2 linked regions of the Ovis aries genome follow. Each later gene encodes a partner of the first gene's protein in a complex. Links are inferred from orthologs where the notes say so. Each region holds a gene or a part of one and is shown in the gene's direction. Other genes may lie near its edges.

Region 1 (10,561 bases):
TCTCTGTTTTACAATTGTGGAGACAGGATCAGAAAGGTTATCTCCCCGAAGTTGTACAACTTATTTTGTAAACCCAGAATGCAAACTCTGGCTTTTTTTAAGACCAGAAATAGGTCTTTCCCCCATTTTCCTTTTTTGTTCTCTTTCCTCTTCACTACACTGTTTTTTGATTTGGGGCTTTTAAGCTAAGAAGAATGTATTAGAAATAAAACTCAGAAGTTTACTGCTTTTAGCTAAATTTAGCTGATCTTTCAGACTTGCCTGCGTACCTTGGATCAAGGTTGTAGGATGGAGGGGATTGCTTCCTGGGATGTAGTAGATATAGCGTGTGTGGGCTGTCAGGGGTTGTCACAGCAGAGGAGGAAAGTCCTACAAGGGCCAAGACCATTTAGCACCTACAGGCTATGTCACCTGATGAGAGGGAGGGCCATAGGTAGCACTGTATGTTGTGAGGATGTACAAGGGAAATCTTGCCCATTCCATGTATCACAAACGTCACGTAAATCCTGCTGCTGGCTTCCATAGCAGTAGGAGTGAGCACATCACATCTCCCAAGACCCTGGGATTTCTGCAAATTGTCATCTATCTTCAGATTCCCCCCTACCTTGAGGATCCGGCATCTTTATGTACTTTCTCTGCATTTTACAGCTTGACCATGTTGATGGACACTTATGTTGCTTCCATACCTTAGCTATTATAGATAGTGCAGTTATGAACATTGGGGTGCATGTGTTTTTTTGAATTCGCATTTTCATCTTTTCTGGATATATGCCCAGGAGTGGAATTGCTGGATTTTGTGGTAACTCTTATTTTGTTTTGTTTTTTCTTTAGTTTGCTAGTATTTTGTTCAGGATTTTTGTGTCTGTGTTCATCAGGCATACTGGCCTGTAATTTTCTCTTTTTGTGGTATCTTTCTCTGGTTTTGGTATCAGGGTCATGGTGATCTCATAGAATGAATGAGTTTAGGAGTGTTCTGTTCTCTGCAACTGTTTGGAATAGTTTCAGGAGGATAGGTCTTAATTCTTCTCTGAATGTTTGCCTCTGTAGCCATCTGGTCCTACTCTTTTGTCTGTCGGAAAATTTTAAATCACAGTTTCAATTTTAGTACTTGGGATTTGTCTGTTCATATTTTCTAGTTCTCCCTGGTTCAGTCTTTTTCTAAGAATTTGTCCATTCATTTTATTGGCATATAGTCATAGTAATCTCTTCTGACTCCTTATATTTGTGTGGTGTCAGTTGTAGCTTGTCTGTTTTCATCTGATTTTTGATTTGTGCCCTCACCCTTTTTTTCTTGATGAGTGTGGCTAAAGGTTTATCAGTTTTGTTTGTCAATACTTGATACTTTAAGTCTTAAGGTCTCATCAAAAATAGTTTTGAAAAAAAAAAATAGTTTTGGAGGTAGCAACTAAATAAAATTGAGGTAGAAAAGGTAACACCACTTTTCTTTGTAGTATAGGGAGAGGATCTAGGAGCAGAGCAGGGCTGCGAAGAGAGGGATAGAGTGGTACCAGGTCAAACTCAAGGTCAGCAGACAAGAGCTGGGACGTGAATCTATTGCTTATTAACTTTGAGATCATGGATAAGTTTTGTTAGATCTTTCTAATACGCAAATAATAATAATAATGCCTTGTTTATGGCACAGGGTTGTGGTGAGAATCATGAAACCTGGTTGGGGGAGGGACTTTATAAATATACGGTTACATGTATATAATCACTGACTAGAAAGTGGATACAGTGGGAGTGACTACTATTAGGATTTGCGTATATTAAACATTTAACCATCAGAGTAGTTTTCTCACAGATTGCTCTTCCAGGAGGAGTAGACTTTGGCAGTTACCATGGTGAAAACATCTGTGGTAAATGTAGTTAAATAGGATAGATTTAAAAGAAAGAGGTAATTTTTCTTTGTTTCTCATGTGATGCTTTAATGTTTGCTATTTGAATATACTACAGGTATCAACTCAATTGTAGCCATTGCATCATACACTGGATATAATCAAGAAGACTCTGTTATCATGAATCGTTCAGCTGTAGACAGAGGCTTTTTCAGGTCAGCTATTTATAACAGATTCCAAAATACAGATATAGTGGAAATACTAATATTTTAATTTTTTAAAAAAGTTTTTTAAAAATAGCTGTGGGAACTTCCCTGGTGGTCCAGTGGTTAAGACTCTGTACCTCCAATGCGGAGGGCATCATTCCCCTGGTTGGGGAACTAACATCCCACGTATCACGTGGTACAGTCAAAAAGAAAAAAATAAAGGTGTGACTTGTGTGTGTCCAAATTTTTTGGTGGTTTTGAATGTCAGGCAAGAAGAAATTTTGATCTGACAGCAGAGAAATTTTTCTGTTAAGATAGGTAATCTGTCTCCATTCATAAAACTTGTGGATGCCTGTCAGACATAGGTTGTTGTATGGTTGCCTGTATAGGGGTTAAAATGGTGAAGTCAGTGTCCTGCTCCAGAAAGTGGAAGGCCTGACTGATGGTCCTGAACAGCTAAAGATTGTTTCTTGTATCTGAGTATTTTCAGGTACTAATATTTTAGCGCCCCCCCTCCACCTTTTTTTGTAAGCAAAAAAATACTTGCATTTAGATAATATAGAAGTATCTAAAGAAGAAGTAAAGATAAACCTAAGAGTTTTAGGACCCTTAAATAACTACTGTTAAAATTATAGTATGTTTTCTTTTTCAGTCTAATTTTCTGTTATTCAGTTTGATTGTCAAACATTAATCACAAATCCATGGCATGTGAAAATTGGTTAAAAAACTGAGAATTTAGAAGAGAGGATAGATTTTTTTTCTGTATAGTTGTCAGAGGATATCAGACCAGAGTTGGACATTATAGCTTAATATCATAAATTTCTCAGTAGAAATACTGGGGCAGATCCTGGGTGACCATCTCTGAGGGTTGTTATGGGAGGGATTCTTATTTTAGGTCGAGGGTTGGACTTAGTATTCCTGTTCTCACAGTTCAAGCTGTGTTAAGGATCAAATGTTACATGGGTGACCTGTGTACTAGCTCTTAGGACTTAAGTTTGACCCTCATACAGTTAACTCCTGTCCTAGATTCATAGTTTAATTGCTATGGTTAAAATTATCAGATATCAACTAAGTAAAAATTATTGGTGTGTTCTAAGTTGTATTATTAAAGGAAAATAAAGTTCACTTTAGAACCATGTATTTTTAGGTCTGTTTTCTATCGATCATACAAAGAACAGGAATCTAAAAAAGGGTTTGATCAAGAAGAAGTTTTTGAGAAGCCTACACGTGAAACTTGCCAGGGTAAGTGATACTGACAGTGAAATTATGGAATTCAAAGTTAACTCCTAATTAGTTTTTCTGGGTTTTGTCTTCCCACCCTTCTTTACGCAGTGTGGGAGTATGTTTGCTAGTCATTCTTAGAGCTTCTATTTAAGGAAATAGATATATTTGCCAGAAGTCTTTACACCTGGAGTGGCTTGCTATAGTCCTTCTATTCTGCTAGGTCCTGCATTGAGGAAAGGATTTAGGAAAGTAGAGAGGCCATATAATTGCATGGGACACACCCAGCCTCATTCTCACTTGTACCGTGTCCTGTCCCTTAGTTTATGTATTTTCATGGGAGCTTCCTCCCCTCTTCACATTCTGATGTGACCATAGTGTTTGTCTGGCCACAGTATATGTATATATTTAGCAGGTAAATAATGAGAGAATGTCTACAACTTTGTTTCTTTTGAAAAACTCAGATTTATTTTCTAGTTACTATTTTTACAGACATTTATAAGCTATATACAGCTTTTGGGATGGATGGGATGTCCTGGGGGAATATCTGCTACAGTTTTGGCTTCTAATAGTATTGCATGAAGTAAAACGTTTTTGTACTCACATTTCCTGTGGGTGCTTCTGTGTAGCAGTGAACTGATTTTTAGTGGAGTTAAGGTTACAGTTTAGATTTCAAGTTTTCTGTGGGAGATTTTGTATAGAGGACATAGATAACTCTTTCTCATGTAATATAGGGAGCAAAAGATGGCAACACATTTATCCAAAGTCACTTAGCAAATGGAGAATTGATTTTCCAGTACTCAGTCCAATGCCTTTTTTTAAAGTTCAGAATCGTTTGTAATGTTTGGAATAAGGGCATGTTACTGTAACGTGTTAGATATTCCTATGAACTTCTCTCTGGTTAAAACTGATGTATATATTTGCTTTTTAATCTTTTTGAGAGAGGGAGTATGTGACATTTTAAATACTTTTCTTTATGGTATTACCATTTCAGAAAATTCTCTTTCTTCTCAGGTATGAGACATGCTATTTATGACAAGCTGGATGATGATGGTTTGATAGCTCCTGGAGTTCGTGTGTCAGGAGATGATGTTATTATAGGCAAAACAGTCACCTTGCCTGAAAATGAAGATGAATTGGAGGGCACTAATAGACGCTATACAAAGAGAGACTGTAGCACTTTTCTCAGGACTAGTGAGACTGGCATTGTGGATCAGGTTATGGTAACTCTCAACCAAGAAGGATATAAATTTTGTAAAATAAGGGTAAGTATAGCTTTGTCATATTGTTGTTTATAGAAAGTAAACCAGAATGACCTAACTAACTTATTTTTATGTGAATTCAGGTACGCTCTGTTAGAATTCCACAGATTGGAGACAAATTTGCTAGTCGACATGGTCAAAAGGGTACTTGTGGTATTCAGTATAGACAGGAGGTAGGTATCTTTCATCACCTCTGACTCACAGTTTTATTGATCATTTTATTAAAATTTGCTTTAACTTAAGAGCCTAGAGGCAGTAAAGGCTTGACTTTGAATTGTAGTGCCGAACAAGTAGGTGAACATCTATGCTGAGGGCTTCCCAGGCGCTAGTGGTAAAGAACCTGCCTGCCAGTGCAGGAGACATAAGAACTGCAGGTTCGATCCCTGGGTTGGGAAGATCCCCTGGAGGAGGGCATGGCAACCCACTTTAGTATTCTTGCTTGGAGAATCCCATGGACAGAGGAGCCTGGCAGGCTACAGTCCATAGAGTCGTAAAGAGTCAGACACGACTGAAGCAACTTAGCATGTATACTGTGTTGAACAGAGTTTAGGACATAGCAAAGTTCAGATGAAAGAGAATCAGTTCTAGTTCTATAGCTAAGAGATTTAAGTTTTTCAAGTGTCTTTTAAAAAATTCCTTTATAGGATATGCCTTTCACCTGTGAAGGTATCACCCCCGATATCATCATAAATCCCCATGCCATCCCCTCTCGTATGACCATTGGTCACTTGATTGAATGTCTTCAAGGGAAGGTAAGAGATTTTCTTTACAGATATAGGTCTCAAATTGATGTTTCTTCCAAAGTGTTAGGTGATTTCTCTCATTCTTAGTCAGGGTACTGTGGAAAAAGCCAGTGTGACACTACTTTCCTGCTTTTAAGTTGGTTTATGTCTGTCTGTCTGTTTGCAAAAATTTGCAAAGTTATGACTAAAAATTCTTGCAAAATTTACTATATCCAGTCTTTGAATATGTGGTTATTCTTTTGACTGGTTCTTTTCTATAAGTGGTGGTTAGTTCATTGTGAACCTAATGGTTTTATAGCTGTAATATTAGCTATGCATGTGTCTTTCAGTGGAGGTTTTCTATTTTTAAGGATCTTATTAAGGTAGAGTAGCTACAGCTTTTATGCACTGGAGAAGGAAATAGCAACCCACTCCAGTATTCTTGCCTGGAGAATCCCAGGGACAGAGGAGCCTGGTGGGCTGCCATCTGTGGGGTTGCAGAGAGTCGGACACGACTGAAGCGACTTAGCAGCAGCAGCAGCGGCTACAGCTTAACACATGGATGACTTGGTTGTAAGGATTAAAATGTCATCTTCCTTGAGTCATAGGAAATATTTGAGAGTCTCATTCTTTTTGTATGTGGTCTCACAGAGAGCTTCCTATTTGAAGACTTAATAGGTAGTTCTGTTTTATGTAAGATGCTAATAAAATGAACCTTATGATGTTACAGCTTTCCATAACAGATATTTAAGTTAATTTGTAATCTTAAGTTCAAAATCTTCCCTTTTTTTTTTTTTTTGCATTCTTGCACAGTTTTAATTCAATTCTTGCAGCACCCAAGTAGGTGAGTTAGTGACAGTGTTAACAGGACATATTCAAAGATCCAGAAGCTAGGAGTAGAAGTGAGTTGGAATGCTCCTTACCATGGTGACCCCAATTCCATGACCCCAATCTTCCCTTTCTTAAAAAGGTTGTTTTTTTTTTTTTTAGCTGACTATATTTGTATTAACATAGACTTCTAAAGAGAGACAGAAGGAAGCAACCTTTTTTTTTTTTTTTTTAGTTTTTTATTTTTTAAATTTTAAAATCTTTAATTCTTACATGCGTTCCCAAACATGAACCCCCCTCCCACCTCCCTCCCCACAACATCTCTCTGGGTCATCCCCATGCACCGGCCCCAAGCATGCTGCACCCTGCGTCAGACATAGACTGGTGATTCAATTCTTACAGGATAGTATACATGTTAGAATTCCCATTCTCCCAAATCATCCCACCCTCTCCCTCTCCCTCTGAGTCCAAAAGTCCGTTATACACATCTGTGTCTTTTTCCTGTCTTGCATACAGGGTCGTCATTGCCATCTTCCTAAATTCCATATATATGTGTTAGTATACTGTATTGGTGTTTTCCTTAGGAAGCAACCTTTTAAACATTACTTTTCTTTTTAAAGGTATCAGCTAACAAGGGTGAAATTGGTGATGCCACTCCATTCAATGATGCTGTTAATGTGCAGAAGATTTCTAATCTTCTATCTGATTATGGCTACCATCTCAGAGGAAATGAGGTATGTTTGCTTTTACATTGGTAATTTGTTAAGTATATTCTTTTTTTGCACGTGTGTTATTTCATTCTTAAAAAAATAAATCTTTCATTGAAGTATACCACATACTTCAAATATATACATAAACCATAAATGTTCAGGTTGATAAAATTTTCACCAAGTGAACACAGGTGTGACTGGCACCCAGATCTTGAAAAGAAAATTATCAGAATCCTTTTATCCCTGATGCTCTCTTGTGTCTCCTTCCAGTCACTACCTTCATACCCCCACCCCAAGGTAATTACTCCTTTTACAGCATAGATTATTTTAGTCTGTTTTGATTTGTTTAGAAATGGAATTGTATAGTATATGTCCATATATACTTTGAACTTGTTTAGTAATTTTTAAGTCTGTATTTAAAAATCTGCTTGTTTCAGGTCTTATACAATGGATTCACTGGTCGAAAAATCACATCACAGATTTTTATTGGCCCCACTTACTACCAGCGTTTGAAGCACATGGTGGATGATAAGATTCATTCTCGTGCTCGGGGACCTATTCAGATTCTTAATAGACAGCCGATGGAGGGTAGATCTCGGTAAGAGAGCTGCATCATTGATCTTATATAAAAGAATGGTTCTAATATTTCTTGATTCCAGGATCCTAAAAGGGAGTTGGTATCTTTTGATATTTATCATGTTAGAAATTAAAACCGAGAAAGGTTTAAAATATTTATTACTTGGTTTAAAAAATAACAGTAACAAATTCGTTATACATTAACATAAATAACATTTTAAGTGAAAAGTATTTTCCAGATAAATTTAGTGATAAAGTGACATTGGTTTATCTTTTTGCAAATCTTCTTAATGAACTGGTTTGTGAGAAGATAGCTAGATTCTTGATTCTTGTGTTTGCTTCTGCATTTAATCCATTGCAGGATTTTATTTTTTATAATTAACTATGTGACCTCACACAGATTTATGGTTGAAAGGGAAGAATATTATAGTAACTTTCAGGTGACTGGATTTTTTTTTTGATGCTGCACTAGAGTGACAAGTTGTCCTTTCTAAAGGTTAGTTGTGATGTAGAATTTGGAACTACTTAAATGAATCTTTTATGTTGAAATCCATTGGCCTGTCTTATACTTTGAGTGTATCTTTTATACTTATGTAGTTTCATAGTCTCATAATTGGTTATTTGAAAAATATTTTCATTGAGTTGTGTAGATTTTTACATGTTGACACATTTCATTATATCAAAAAACAAATTTCACATTTGTGAATATCACCACCATGTCATCAGAAAGTTTTTAAGTATTGGGAGGTTATCAAGCTCAGAGGGTTGGATAGAGGTTTTCTTTTTCTAAAATTCTCCTCTTTGATTGAAACACTAATTTTTAATGATTTACAACAAATCTTTAAAATTGTTTTCCTTGAGTGAAAAAAATGTCTGCCAAATATCTTAAGGCTGAATTAACATAGTTGGTGCTATTGTTGGCAAATTAACATGATTGGTGTCAGCTGTTTTTTCAAGTATAAAAGATATTTCATGATAAAAGTGACTACTTCAAAATTGTGCAAGCACTTTATTTCAAGACCACCATCTTTAATATACAACTAAAGTACCTTATGAGAACTCTTTTATCAGACTGTTAAAAACTATGTACTCAGGAGTCAAAGTTAAATAAAACTAATCATTTTTAATTGCTTCATTAATGACATACTTTATATAAAACTGGTTTTCTCACCCTTCAGATACACTGGCGAATATGACTGCTAGTAAAGTATGGTTCTACCCACCTGATGTGTTCGGGTGCCAGCAGTTTATTCAGTTACTTTGGCAACTGTCAGTGCAAATGTCAATACAGTGAAAGAAGCAAATGTGTCATTAGTTTTATTATAAAAACTGTTTTCACCCTTAAGAGTCCACAGACCACACTCTCAGAACTCCTGCTTTAGAAAATAGGAAAGTTATAAAAGCAATCACAGTACCTCCTTAATATTAAATATCTAGTGTTTAGATTTTCTTGACAGTTGCATAGTTTTTAAAAAACATTTGTTGGTTTCATTTAGGATACAAATAAGGCTCATGGTTTGTAGCTGATTGATATGTCTCAAGTTTTTTTCTTAATCTGTCGGTTACCCTTTAACTTTTTTTTCTTGCACTTTATTTGTTGGATTGTTTGTTGTGGAGGGTTTCTCACAGACTGGATTTTTTGAATTGTGGGATCTTAGTTCTCCAACCAGAGGTTGAACCTGGGTGCCAGCAATGAAAGCGCCGAGTCCTAACCACTGGACTGCCAGGGAATTCCCTCTCACAGTCTGGATTTTTGTTGATTGCATTCCTGGGCTGTGTGTGCCTATTTCTTGTAAATAGCTAATTGGATTTAGAGCCTTGATGAGGTGAAGGGTTTGTGTTCTTTAATAGTAATACTTAAAAGGCAGTATTCAAAATTGTATACTTTCCATATCTGGTTGTTTTTCTTTTGTGACTTTAGTAGCTGTTAATGTTCAGTACCTAAAACCTTTAATTAAATAGGGATTGCAGACTGATGAGATTCTAATTTTATCATTCCTTCATTTATTAGCTGGAATACTTTCATAGAGAGAAATTTTGTTTCATCATCTGGTTACCTGGTGACATAGTTTTCATATAGTAAAAGACATGATAAATGCTCAATTCTTTCCTTTTATTTACCAGTTTTCAAAATGATGAGTCAGTTACTTAGAATCCTCTAAAGCTGACCAAGTGTTTTGCTTTTGGTAGTATCATTAGAAGCTCTTTAATCATATGTATTTTATTAATATATATATATATATGTGTGTGTGTGTGTGTATATGTATTCCCATGAAACCATTCTTTATCTTTTATATAGAAGAATATTAAGGAAGCCATCACCATCTACTTGCCTGGCCATCAGAACAATGCATTTCATTTCACTTACTAAGCTGGGGAAACCTGTGACTGATTTCACCTCTTCTTTCCATTAGTTGTGCCAATGTGCATTTATTGTTTCAGGTTTGATTGCTTGGGAGTCTCATTCATGGAGAAGCTACTTTATTTAGATTAACTTTTATTATTAAATTTTTAGCATACAGATGAATTCAAATAAGTTAAATGGTAATGTTACAAGATTTTATTCTGTACGTCATTGTGTTTTATTTGAAAAAGTATATTTACTATATTTAAGAAACTAATGTGTGAACTCTGTTTGGGGACCTTCTAGTGCACATCAAATAGTTGGTAGCCTTCTTAGCCTCCTAACCATGCTGACAGAATACAAAAGTAGAAAAATTGGAGTCTAGTTCTCATTCTTTACTAATGCTACTTTTTATACTTGCCATTAGTCAAAGTGGTATTGATAATAGAAAATCAGTACAAAATAGCCTGTTGTTTCTTCCCATAATAGTGATGGTGGCTTGCGTTTTGGAGAGATGGAACGAGACTGTCAGATCGCGCATGGAGCAGCCCAGTTTCTAAGGGAGAGGTTGTTTGAGGCGTCAGATCCGTATCAGGTTCACGTTTGCAATCTTTGTGGAATAATGGCAATTGCGAACACCAGGACCCATACATATGAATGCAGGGGCTGCCGAAATAAAACCCAGGTATGTACAGACATTCCTAGCAGTTATTATCTATTCAGGATATAACCGTATTTGCCTCATCATCCAGGCAGATTGAGTGTGGTGAACAGATTGGTGTTTTCACAATTTTGGTAGCATTTTTCTATAAGATTCCTGGTTTTAAATGAAGAAAAAGATATCAATTCTGTTTTTC
Region 2 (11,014 bases), on another chromosome or scaffold:
TGGGCTTTCCTGTCTTTTCCAGTCCACGGGAAATTCTGATTAAAGAGAAGGCCACATTGTAGACCAGAAACCAAAGCTAACTTTAACCAACTTTTTTTTTTATGTGAATCACTTAATTTATAAAAAGCAAATGTTTGTGACCGCTCTGTACCACTTCTGCACCTGCCCACATCTTAAAAGATGGCCCCTCTGAGTTTCCATGTTACAGAACATGGCACTTCCTTGTCAGTGACTCAGATGCACCACAGTCACTTTCCTTTGGCATCCCACCCAAACTGCGTTTCCAATCCTTTAAACTTACAAACAACAACAAAATACAACTCCATGGCAAGGCTTCCTTACAGTGTATGTATATAGACGGATAAACACACACATATGTATGTATGCATATATATGTAAAGTATATTCCAGTTTGTGACTTGCCTATTCATTGTTATAAACGTACCTTCTGTTGAACAGAAATTTTAATTTTCATAACATCTCTTTAACCAAATTCTTTTTTCTTTTATAGTTGTTGCATTCTATGTCCTAGCTAAGAAATTTTTCTTGCCTACCTGAAAGTCACAAATATTCTATGGATTTGTCTAAAAGGCGTTTTGGTTTTCACTTTTACATTAAGGCTATGATCCATTTCAAATTAATTTTTTGATTTGAGTGAGATAGTTGAAGTTCATTTCTTCCCCCTCTATATGAATAGCCAATAGTCCCAGCATCATTTGTTGAAAACATTTTCCTATCCTCATTGAATTGACTTTGTGCCTTGGTTGAAAATCAATTGATTAAATAAGTATGGGCCTATTTCTGTACTACATTGCATTCCACTGATCTATTTGTGTACCCTCATGTAAAATCACACAGTACTGATTAATGCAGTTTTATAATACATCTTGGGGCTTTGCAGGTGGTGCTAGTGGTAAAGAACTTGCCTGCCAATGTAGGACACATAAGAGACTCGGGTTCGATTACTAACTAGTTAGTAATTCTGCTTCTGAAGACAAGCAGTAGTAATGGTGGCATGATAACATGAATATCCCTGAATTGCACTCTGTATGTGGTTAGGTAAATTTTATGTTACATGTATTTAACACAAAGAAACAAAAAAGAAATCTTTCCCAGAAACACCATAGTCTCCTATATTTTTTTCTAAATATTTTTCAGGTGTGTCTTTCACACTTAGGTCTTTAGTCCATTTGGAAACTGCTATTGTAAATGATGTGAAGTAGGAATCCAATTTTGTCTTAAATCTATATGGATACCACGTAGCTCAGCATCGTTTACTGAATACAGTGCTTTTATACTACTACTTGGCGGTATACTTCCATACGTATATGAGCATGTTTCTAAGCTCTCTCTTCTGTTCCATGGGTTTACTTTCCTATCCCTAAATCAAGACCAGTAATTAAGCCAGGAGTCTTGATTATTACGGCATTATATTGTTTTGATACCTAGAAGGCAGAGACTTTTTCTTCAAAATTGAGTGAGGAATTCCAGGTGCTCTGTCTTTTCATAGACATGTTAGGTTCAACATGTGAAGCTCCATGAAAAGCCATATTCCAATTTTAATAGGAATTTCAACAAATCTGTATATTTGGAGAAAATGGACATCTTTATGGTACTGAGTCTTCCTACCCCAAGAATATGGTGATAGTCACTCAGTTGTATCTGACTCTCTGCAACCCCATGGACTGTAGCCCGCCAGGCTCCTTTGTCCATGGAATTCTCCAGGCAAGAATATTGGAGTGGGTTGCCATTTCCTTCTCCAATGAATATGGTATATGGGTGCATTTACTTGGGTCTTCTTTAATGTGTTTCAATAGAGCATTATAATTTTCTCCTTAAAGGACAATGCACCTTTAGTTTGATCTATTTCCAGATACCTTCAGTTTTCAATACTGTTATGAATAGCATCTTTTTATTATTAAAATTCCCAGTTTTTGCTGGTGTGTAGAAGTTACTCTTTTATTCAGAAATCTGCTTGAACTGAAGGTCATTTTTGATGACCTCCTAACAAAAGCAGCCCTTCCAGTCCTTCTTTATCACATCCTATCAGTTAACCTTCTAGTTATCTGATTTTTAGTATCCTTTTCCCTGCCTATAATTAAGTTGCCAGCTCACCATTGTTAGTTCAATGTCTAGAATAGGGTCTGACATATACCGCACAAAATGTTTGTTGAATAAAAAAAAAATGGCGATTTTAAATCTAGATGATTTGGAAAAACACGGAAAGAAAAGCAGATTTTGAAGTGATGGTGAAGTGAGGTCTAATTCAGGTTGGGAGGCATTCTTTAGAGTTCTCACAGGTCATTAACGTGCAGGCATCTGACATCTGGCGCACAAGAATAGAGGTTTGACGGGATGGAACCGATGAGACAGTGAAAGAGGAAAATGCATTCAAGACGAAAAAAAACAATAAATTTAGGAACAACTATTGTTGGGGCAGATTAGAGAGAGGGAGGGAACGAGCATGCGCAACAGCATGGAAACCAACGGGAAAGATTTGAAGCAAAGAAAGAGGGAAATAAATGGAAGAGCTAGATTCCTAAATCACATGCACACACAATTGGAGAAGTACAATTTCACCTAAGGAACAGAAAGCAAGAAACCTCATTTCTCGACTGGTAAAAAAAACAATTAGAGCTCCAATACATTGTTGTTCAGTAGCTAAGTGGAGACCAACTCTTTGCAACCCTGTGGACTGCAGCATGCCAGGCTCTTTCTGTCTTCCCCTATCTCCCCGAGTTTGCTCAAGTCATATCCATTAGGTTGCGTGATGCTATCTAACCATCTCATCCTCTGTTTCCCTCCTCCTCCTGCCCCGTCTTTCCCAGCATCAAGATCTTTTCCAATGAGTGGACTCTTCGCATCAGGTGGCCAGAGTATTAGACTACAGATCCGAATCTGGAGAAGGAAGTAATTTTGGAACTCTCTGGGTCTTTCCTCCGGGCTCGGAGGACCCATCAGCATTCAATCTTATTCATCCTCTCGCGTCACAGCTATAGAAGCTGTGGTCTGAAAGGTTCCAATCTGAACGGCGGAGACTTGTTTCCTCCTCATTTTCACCATCCTTCCTGTGGCCGACGGTACCAGCAGGTGCTCTCTGGGCCTGGGACTGGAATTAAGAGGAGGGTGGCGACCGGGAAAGCAGAGCCGGGCTGCCGAGGCGGGGAAACAGGCCCTCACCTCACGCCCAGCGCCGGGTCAGCGGGTCAGCCAGGGGCCGCGCGCCCTCACTGGGGCGCCCCGACCGCGCCGAGTCGCCGCTCGCCCCACGGCCCGCAGTGCCCGGTTTCGCCTGCATCCGCCCCCCACCCACGAACCCAGCCCTACCTTCCTTACCTGCCGGCGCGCGGAGGCGGCCACAACCCCCTGGCCGTTCACGCAGGACCGAGTTCGCTGGGAGCCCGCCCCGGCCCACTGCTCCCAGTCCCCGCCCCTCTGCTCCCAGTCCCCGCCCCTCCACCGGCGGCGGGCGGCACGTGACCCCGCCCTCGTCTCGCCCCGCCCCCGCTATAAACCCCGCCCACAGCCCGCCTCCTCGCCGGGGCGCCCCACCCTCGAGGCCGTCGCTGTCGCGATGACGTAGAAGGCGCATGCGTACTCTGTTGTCGGTGCCTAGGCGCTGTGGGATCTGTGGGTGGAAAGGTACGTGGCGTCGGCCCTCGGAGCCGTAGGGGAGCCTGGCGTGCGTGGAAGTTCTGTGGGTTTCCAAGAAAAAAGGAGGGGAGGGGAAAGTCCTAGAAACCTGTCTTTCAGGTTGCGGGGATACAGGGTTCCGTCCTGTCTCTCTGACGAGGCCGGGCGGCTGCCCCGCGGCAGTTGAACTGTGCATTTCTTTTGCGGAGGGCGGGGGGGCGGGGGGGGGGCATTGCCCAGCGCCGAGGTGTGGAAGTTTAATAAGAGTTAATTTGGCGTGCGCTGAATGGGTTCCTTACCTTCGAGCGCACGTCACTGGGGTACATATTTTATTTGGCAATATAACACAAGATCTGGAGACTTGGATTGTTCTTTTTCTGCTGGTAGCTGCGACTTAAATCTTTTTGCTCCATCTCATCTGTAAAACGAGATGGTCGGAGCCCCCATATAATTTTTAAGGCCTCTTGCGAAGCTACCATTCTGTGACTCCTATCTCCCAGAATTTTACCTTTTATCGTATTTCTACGTGGGAAAAAGAAATATTTTAAATAATGTACTTGTTCTAAACCTGGATTGGCCACATTGCTGTGGAGTTAGGCCCCATTAGGCTTTCATTAGGAGTGACTGGGGTAGGATTTGTTTGCAAATAAGATTTGTGCATTGTTACTATCCCAAATAGACTCGTTTGAATTTTGTTAAAAGATCAGAATATCTGTATGTTTTCCTAATGTTAGCTCTATGTTTTTAATAGACTTCTATGTTTAGTCTTGGCGTTTAATTTTTTGCCTCTGTTCAGAAGTAAATCACCAAAGGATATTGAAGTTAATGCTTTTCTATTTTGTCACCTTAGGGTTTTGTTACCATTTTTAGGGTCATCAGCACCTTCTGACTGGGAAAAGATGGTCAACGTCTTGAAAGGAGTGCTTATAGAATGGTTAGTAGTTTTGATACTTATTAAGTTTTAAATCTGCACATTGAGTCTTTTTGTTTGTTTTGCACATTGAATCTTGATTTGCATGTGTACTGTTTCCAAAATCCATTTTGTTTTGTTCTTAAGATCTGAATGAATCAAGTCTTTCAGCTTTCTCAACTTCATTTTTCTTGTTTCTTAACTGGTGGGACAAATGTTGTTGCTAAGTTTCTTCCTAGTGCCAGTTTTCAGCATCTCTGTTGAATTGATGTCATTGGCGTTATTTCCAACAAGTTTTGGTCAGTGGCAGGCAGCATATATGTGAAATTAACCCTCTTTAGGGGAACAGTGCTTGTATTTTCAAGTCATCAGTGATTAACTAGAATTTTAGGGCCTGCCAAAGTCACACAAACTTTGGTCTTTAAAAAAGAGAAAAAAACAGGAGAGCCAGTTGAAGGTTTCTTAAACTAGGCACACATTCCAAAGGAGAAACTAAAAGCTGTGGGCAGAGTTAGCTCCCGAGAGCTAAGGTGGGGCTCAATTATCCCCAGTTTGAAAATCTGAGCTGCTGGCCCAGTCTTGCTCAGTCTCTGCTTTTTTTTTTTTGCCTCACCAAATAGTTCTGTTTCACCTGGAAATCCTGCCCTGATTGTCTGAAAATACTACTGTCTACATTTCTTTACCTCTAATGTGAGCTATCATATGGGTGATGATACTGTCTCTGTGGTGGCAATGTTCAGGGAGGAACAAGACCAAACCCTCGCATACTCTGACATTTCAAGCAGCACCATCCAGTAGAAATACAGCATGAGCCACATATTTAAAGTTTCTGGTAGCCACACTGAAAAGTAAAATGAAACAGGTGAAATTTATTTAACTCAGTATACCTGAAGTATTTCACCAGGTAAAAAATCCTCAAAGTTCAGATTAACACTTCAGAATCATAGTAAGTCTTTTTCCATACTATAGAGCTTCAAAATCCACTGTCTTCTGTACTCCTACAGCATAGTCACAGGCTAGCCATATTTCAGGTGCTCAGTAGTGATGTGTGACTAGTGGGCTGCTTTATGGATAGTGCAGATATAGCTTGAATGGAGAGACCACCAAACACAATTAAGAAAACAGCCAGTGAAGTGGGAGGGAACCTAAGGGAATGTTTCACTAAAGCAAGTAGGCTGTGTTAAGTGGTGGTAAGAGGTTGGATAAGATGAAGACACTGGAGGTCATTGATTTTTTTTATTTTTTTTAAATCAGAGCTCCAATAATTTTGTGGAAAGGTGGGATAGATACTTCAGAAAGGGGAAGGGAGGAAAGGAAGTGGAAACTGTCTTGACAGTGAACAAGTGAAGTCGCTTAGTCATGTCTGACTCTCTGCAACCCCATGGACTGCAGCACCCCAGGCTCTCCCCTCCATGGGATTTCCCAGGCGAGAATGCTGGAGTGGGTTGCCATTTCCTTCGCCAGGGGATCTTCCTGACCCAGGGATTGAAACCAGTTCTCCCGCATTGCAGGCAGATTTTTTACCATCTGTGCCACCTGGGAAGCAAAGGGATAGAGAAATGGGTTGGTCACAGAGGAAGGATTTGTTAAGATACTCTGCTGCTTGTTACTTTCACTATTTTAACGTGAGAGACTAGAACGTTTGGTGATGGAAGTAAACGCTAGAAATGAGAGAAACGTTCACTTGGGAAAGCCAAGGGACGGATCTAGATTCCAGAATTCCAAGCATACTGTGCTCTTGTCTTTTGGAAAACACTTCTGAGCTACTTTTTGTTTTTTATTTTTCTTATTACTTTGTCATAGCTAATAGAAACATTTTCCTGGTTGGTCTTTTAATGTTATTTTTAATTTATTTTTATTTTTTTTTAAATTTTTATTTTTACTTTATTTTACTTTACAATACTGGATTGGGTTTGTGTACACCCGTGGCGGATTCATGTCAGTATATGGTAATGTTATTTTTTTAACACAGAGGATCCACACACACATTGTCAGCTGTTTTTCCCTTTTATTTTTTCCAATTCTTCCAAATTTAATCTTCCTTCTGGATTTGATTGGTATTCACCTCTCTCCTAGGGTCTTCATATTTTCCTTTTGATTGATATTTTGTATTTCATTCACCTGGAATTTATTGAGAGAAAGGGCATATTAAATTAGCTGTCTTTTTTTTTTTTTTTTTTTGGTCAAATAGCTGAATAATTGTCCAATAACATTTATTTCCTTCCCTCATGATATGTGATGGCTCTTTTATCACGTCGTCTTTCTGTCCTTGCTACTGTCCTTGCTTTCTGTCCTTCCCTAATCCCATGCCACATCCATTTTTTGTCATTCTTACCTATTCAGGAATAACCTGGGAATAATTTAGTTTGTTTCCAAAATAGTCCTTTTGGAATGATGATTGGAATTGTATTACACACATGCATATATATTTTTTAATGATAGCTGGGAAGCACTTTAAAGAGCAAAACTTTCGGAGAATCATTAAAGTTTGGTGGTAGGCTTTCAGTTTTAGCCGTAAGAACAGAGAGTGCAAATTTGTAAGAGGAACTGAGGTATTTTTTCCTGATGGGGCAAGCTCCCACTGGTTTGCTTGTGACCAGCCTCAAAATTGTCCCTGGGCACTAGTGGCCTTCTGTCACCTTGTTTTTCCATGTATTGCCCAGACTAGCAGCACCAGCACCATCTGGAGCTTGTTAGGAAAAATTTCAGACCTCACCCCAAATCTCCTAAGTCAGAACTGTTCATACAAAAGGATTTTTACACAGTGCCCTTAATCAGCTGAAGTTTGGTAATCAGTTTTGCAGTGGAGAATTTTCTTGCCCCAGGACTAGATTTTATTTTTCAGATGGATGCTATCCTAGCAGGGGCTTCCCTTGTGGCTCAGTGGTAAAGAACCTGCCTGCCAGTGCAGGAGACCCAACAGACCCGGCCGGGTTTGATCCCTGTGTCAGGAAGATCTCCTGGAGTAGAAAATGGCAACCCACTCCAGTGTTCTTGCCTGAAAAATTCTGTGGACAGAGGAGCCTGGCAGTCTACCGTTCATGGGGTCATAAGAGTCAGACACAACTTAGTGACTAGGCAATAACAACTATCCTTGCAAAACTTAATTTTTCCCTTCATGGTGAAATCTAAAGTGTAGCCTGAACAATTTTTCAGAAGGGCAGCTGTCTTCCCAAAGATTCAGATCTTTCAAGAAGGCTCCAGACCTAAGCAATAATAGAGTCGTAAAGGGCATGGCCAGGGCCAGCGGCCTCCTTCATGAGTAGGTGCACCTGTTGGGGTGGTGGAACCTGAAAGAGTCCTTCAGTCCCCTCATGTCTATACGTGATGCCAAAGGGAAGACTGTTGATAATACAGCAGCAGCTGTGTACTTCTGTTTATCGTCTCATAATATTCACAGATGGTATGAAGCATTTAGGTGAATTGGAGTACAGATCTCCATTGAGAGATAAATAAACAGTGTATAACGTTGGCCATTTAGTCCCAACTGTCAGTGAATTGAAAAATTGAAAAGTACATGAATATAATAAGATTCTTTCTTCCCAACGCTTACCAAATACCAGAGGCTAAAGATTTTCTTGTGAAAACTTCCTGTTTGTTGGGATCCACTTCTGTCGTTGACTGCCAGCCTCACACCAAGAGTTTCCCGAGTGGAGCCAACCACAGCAGTTACTGAAGCAAGCCACATATGCTCAGCACATGTCTGCATCTGATTCCAGGTGCTCAAGCAGACCTCTGGTGTGATACTTAGCACAGTTGGTTTGGCAAGTGCTTCAGCAAGGAAGATTTGTAGTACAGGTGCAAATTCCAACCAGTTCACAGCACGAGCGCAAAGAATCTGGAGAAATAGGTAGTATTAGACCACTCTTGTCATTACACTTTTGGCTTCCAAACCTGCATTCTATATGAAAAGCAAATCAGAACTAAGGCCAAACCAGTCTAACCACTGTCCTATTCTTTCACAGTATTTATAGTATCTTTTGTGAGCCTTTGCTTTTTATTCTTAGCAAGGCCAAATTCACTGAAGTTTCTTGGGCACCCAGAACAATGCCTGAGATATATATATAGAGAGAGAGCTACTTAGTAAATATTTGTTTATTGAAAGAATTTTGGTAATAAAATTGAATCAAGGGGTATAATCTCACTTAAATTCCAGATGATTAGTGTTCCTTTGGAGCTTCTCTACTACGACAGTGAGAACTAGAGTGGGTCTTGATAGATTGAATTCAAGTTTCAGTACAGAAAAGGTTTGTACAATAGGCCTCCTTTTGGCAAGTTACATCAGAGTAGCTTTTTTTTTCTTTTAATTGGAGTATAGTTGATTTACAATGTTAATTTCAGGTTTACTGCAGAGTGATTTAGTTATACACAAAATTACTTTTTCTATGACTGTATTAATTGATCAGAAAAAAATAAAACATCAAGATGACTGGTGATTTTGTACCAGGTGAAGTTAAGCTGAAACGTTAATTTGACTTAAAGGCAATTAAAAACAACAAACACTTGAGTAATGCACATGTAATAGGAGATGGCTAAAATGGCAAGGGGATAGTCTGCAAATGGCAGAAATTTTGAAAACACTGACCTATTGGTTAAAAGCACAGATGTGAGTCCCCTGGCACTTCTTGGTTTCAGTTTGTTCAACTTTTATGGAAAGTATGCAGATGTATTTTATTTATAAAATTTCTGGAGATGAAAGTCTTCACAACCACTTCACCCTTGCTGTCTCTAATCCCAGTAGCTAGTCAGTTGTGTGTCGTCTGTGAATGCACTGCGCTCAGATAGTAACAAGATAACATCAATTCAGACAGCAGTATTTATAATGTCCTTTCTTCTCATTGTTCCATTTAGACCCCCAATTTATTTTAAAGGGTTAACAAAAAACTATTGTATGCCCTGTCACCTAAAGTGTATCTTTTTAAGAAGCCTCTGAATGTGTGCTTTTTGTAGGAGATCCTGAGATTCCTGTGGGGTCTAAGGCAGTTCAGGACAGGAAACGCTGTGAGGGTGAAGTGGGACCCAGGGTCACTACGAGAGAGACAAAGGCACGTCCCTCCTCGCAGGGACGGGAGGGAGCAGCCTGGGTGCAGAGCGCTCAGACCAAGGGGTGGTTTCTGTCTCCCCTCACCTGTCTCCTCTTAAACTGCCCTCCTTCCTGTCTCCACCTCTTCCCACCCCTACCCCCACCCCTTTTACATGTATAGGCTTGGAGCAGTTGAGACAGCAGCTGATTTTTCAGAGTCTGAGCAGGAAGACAGAAGTTGTAGAGAAGCTGAAGCTTTGGTTTCCCTGTCCTGTGGGCCTTGCCATTTTCATTTCTGTAAGATCTGAAAGAACCCTGTTCAGCCTGCTTCGTTATTGCCAGATTCTTTCTAGAATTACTCTTTAAACTTTATTTTTTAAATATTTTACAGCCTGGGTATGATTAATAAGATGATTGGATGATTGGTACAATTGTTTATTTCAGTAAGATTTCTCAACGTACAGGGTGGTGTTGCTTTACAAAAATTTCTTACTTAAATTTTTATTCTGTGTAACTGCCAAAATTAGGGAGTTACTGCATGTGTAAATTTAACATCCTCAGTATCTGCTTAAATCTGTGACTATCACGTTGCCTCTCTTTGTATTTATAGAAGACCCTGTTGTCTCTCCCATCTTGCACGGCCAGTGATGGAACCAGATGCCGTGATCTTAGTTGTCTGAATGTTGAGTTTTAAGCCAACTTTTTCACTCTCCTCTTTCATCTCATTATCAGCCTTGAGACTCTCATTCCTAGGCCCTCAGTCACCCAAAACGCCACAGGTTTCGAGGTCATCCTTCATCATTTCACATTCACTACCTTCTGGCTCTTCATCGGCACTTAAATTCTACCTCCGCTTCGCCCCTACCCCATCCTTTCCACTTTGGCCTCTAGAACTTAGTGAGAGCAGGAACCCCCTGGATCCCAGCCTCTTCTCTCAACTTTACATCTTTCTTCTCCCCCAATTCCCTTTTTTGCTGCTGTTATAATAAAACCTAGCTTTCCCCTGAGCCCGCTCTGTTGACTTTTTTTCTCTAATATATCTTATACCTTTGGGCCAAGAAATAGGATGGGTGTCTACCTTCTTTGACTGTGTGGATCACAATAAACTGGAAAATTCTGAAAGAGATGGGAATACTAGACCACCTGACCTGCCTCTTGAGAACAGGTCAGGAAGCAACAGTTAGGACTGGACATGGAACAACAGACTGGTTCCAAATAGGAAAAGGAGTACGTCAAGGCTGTGTATTGTCACCCTGCTTATTTAACTTATATGCAGAGTACATCATGAGAAATGCTGAGCTGGAAGAAGCACAAGCTGGAATCAAGATTGCCGGGAGAAATATCAGTAACCTCAGATACGCAGATGACACCACCCTTATGGCAGAAAGTGAAGAACTAAAGAGCCTCCTGGTGAAAGTGAAAGAGGAGAGTGAAAAAGTTGGCTTAAA

The links.
Region 2: POLR2B (region 1) and GTF2H5 share a complex: the UniProt entries of both Homo sapiens proteins name them as parts of the TBP-based Pol II pre-initiation complex. The link is inferred for Ovis aries from reciprocal best matches to the Homo sapiens genes POLR2B and GTF2H5.

The regions. Positions count from the first base shown.
Region 1 is NC_056059.1:73,135,990-73,146,550, forward strand, and holds part of POLR2B (DNA-directed RNA polymerase II subunit RPB2), read left to right. Parts: intron 1-1,953; coding exon 1,954-2,050; intron 2,051-3,188; coding exon 3,189-3,283; intron 3,284-4,276; coding exon 4,277-4,527; intron 4,528-4,607; coding exon 4,608-4,697; intron 4,698-5,168; coding exon 5,169-5,276; intron 5,277-6,694; coding exon 6,695-6,808; intron 6,809-7,221; coding exon 7,222-7,382; intron 7,383-10,193; coding exon 10,194-10,389; intron 10,390-10,561. UniProt on the Homo sapiens protein: Catalytic core component of RNA polymerase II (Pol II), a DNA-dependent RNA polymerase which synthesizes mRNA precursors and many functional non-coding RNAs using the four ribonucleoside triphosphates as substrates.
Region 2 is NC_056061.1:82,451,027-82,462,040, forward strand, and holds the start of GTF2H5 (general transcription factor IIH subunit 5), read left to right. Parts: upstream 1-3,581; 5' UTR 3,582-3,590; coding exon 3,591-3,642; intron 3,643-4,483; exon of another isoform or gene 4,484-4,503; coding exon 4,504-4,567; intron 4,568-11,014. UniProt on the Homo sapiens protein: Component of the general transcription and DNA repair factor IIH (TFIIH) core complex, which is involved in general and transcription-coupled nucleotide excision repair (NER) of damaged DNA and, when complexed to CAK, in RNA transcription by RNA polymerase II.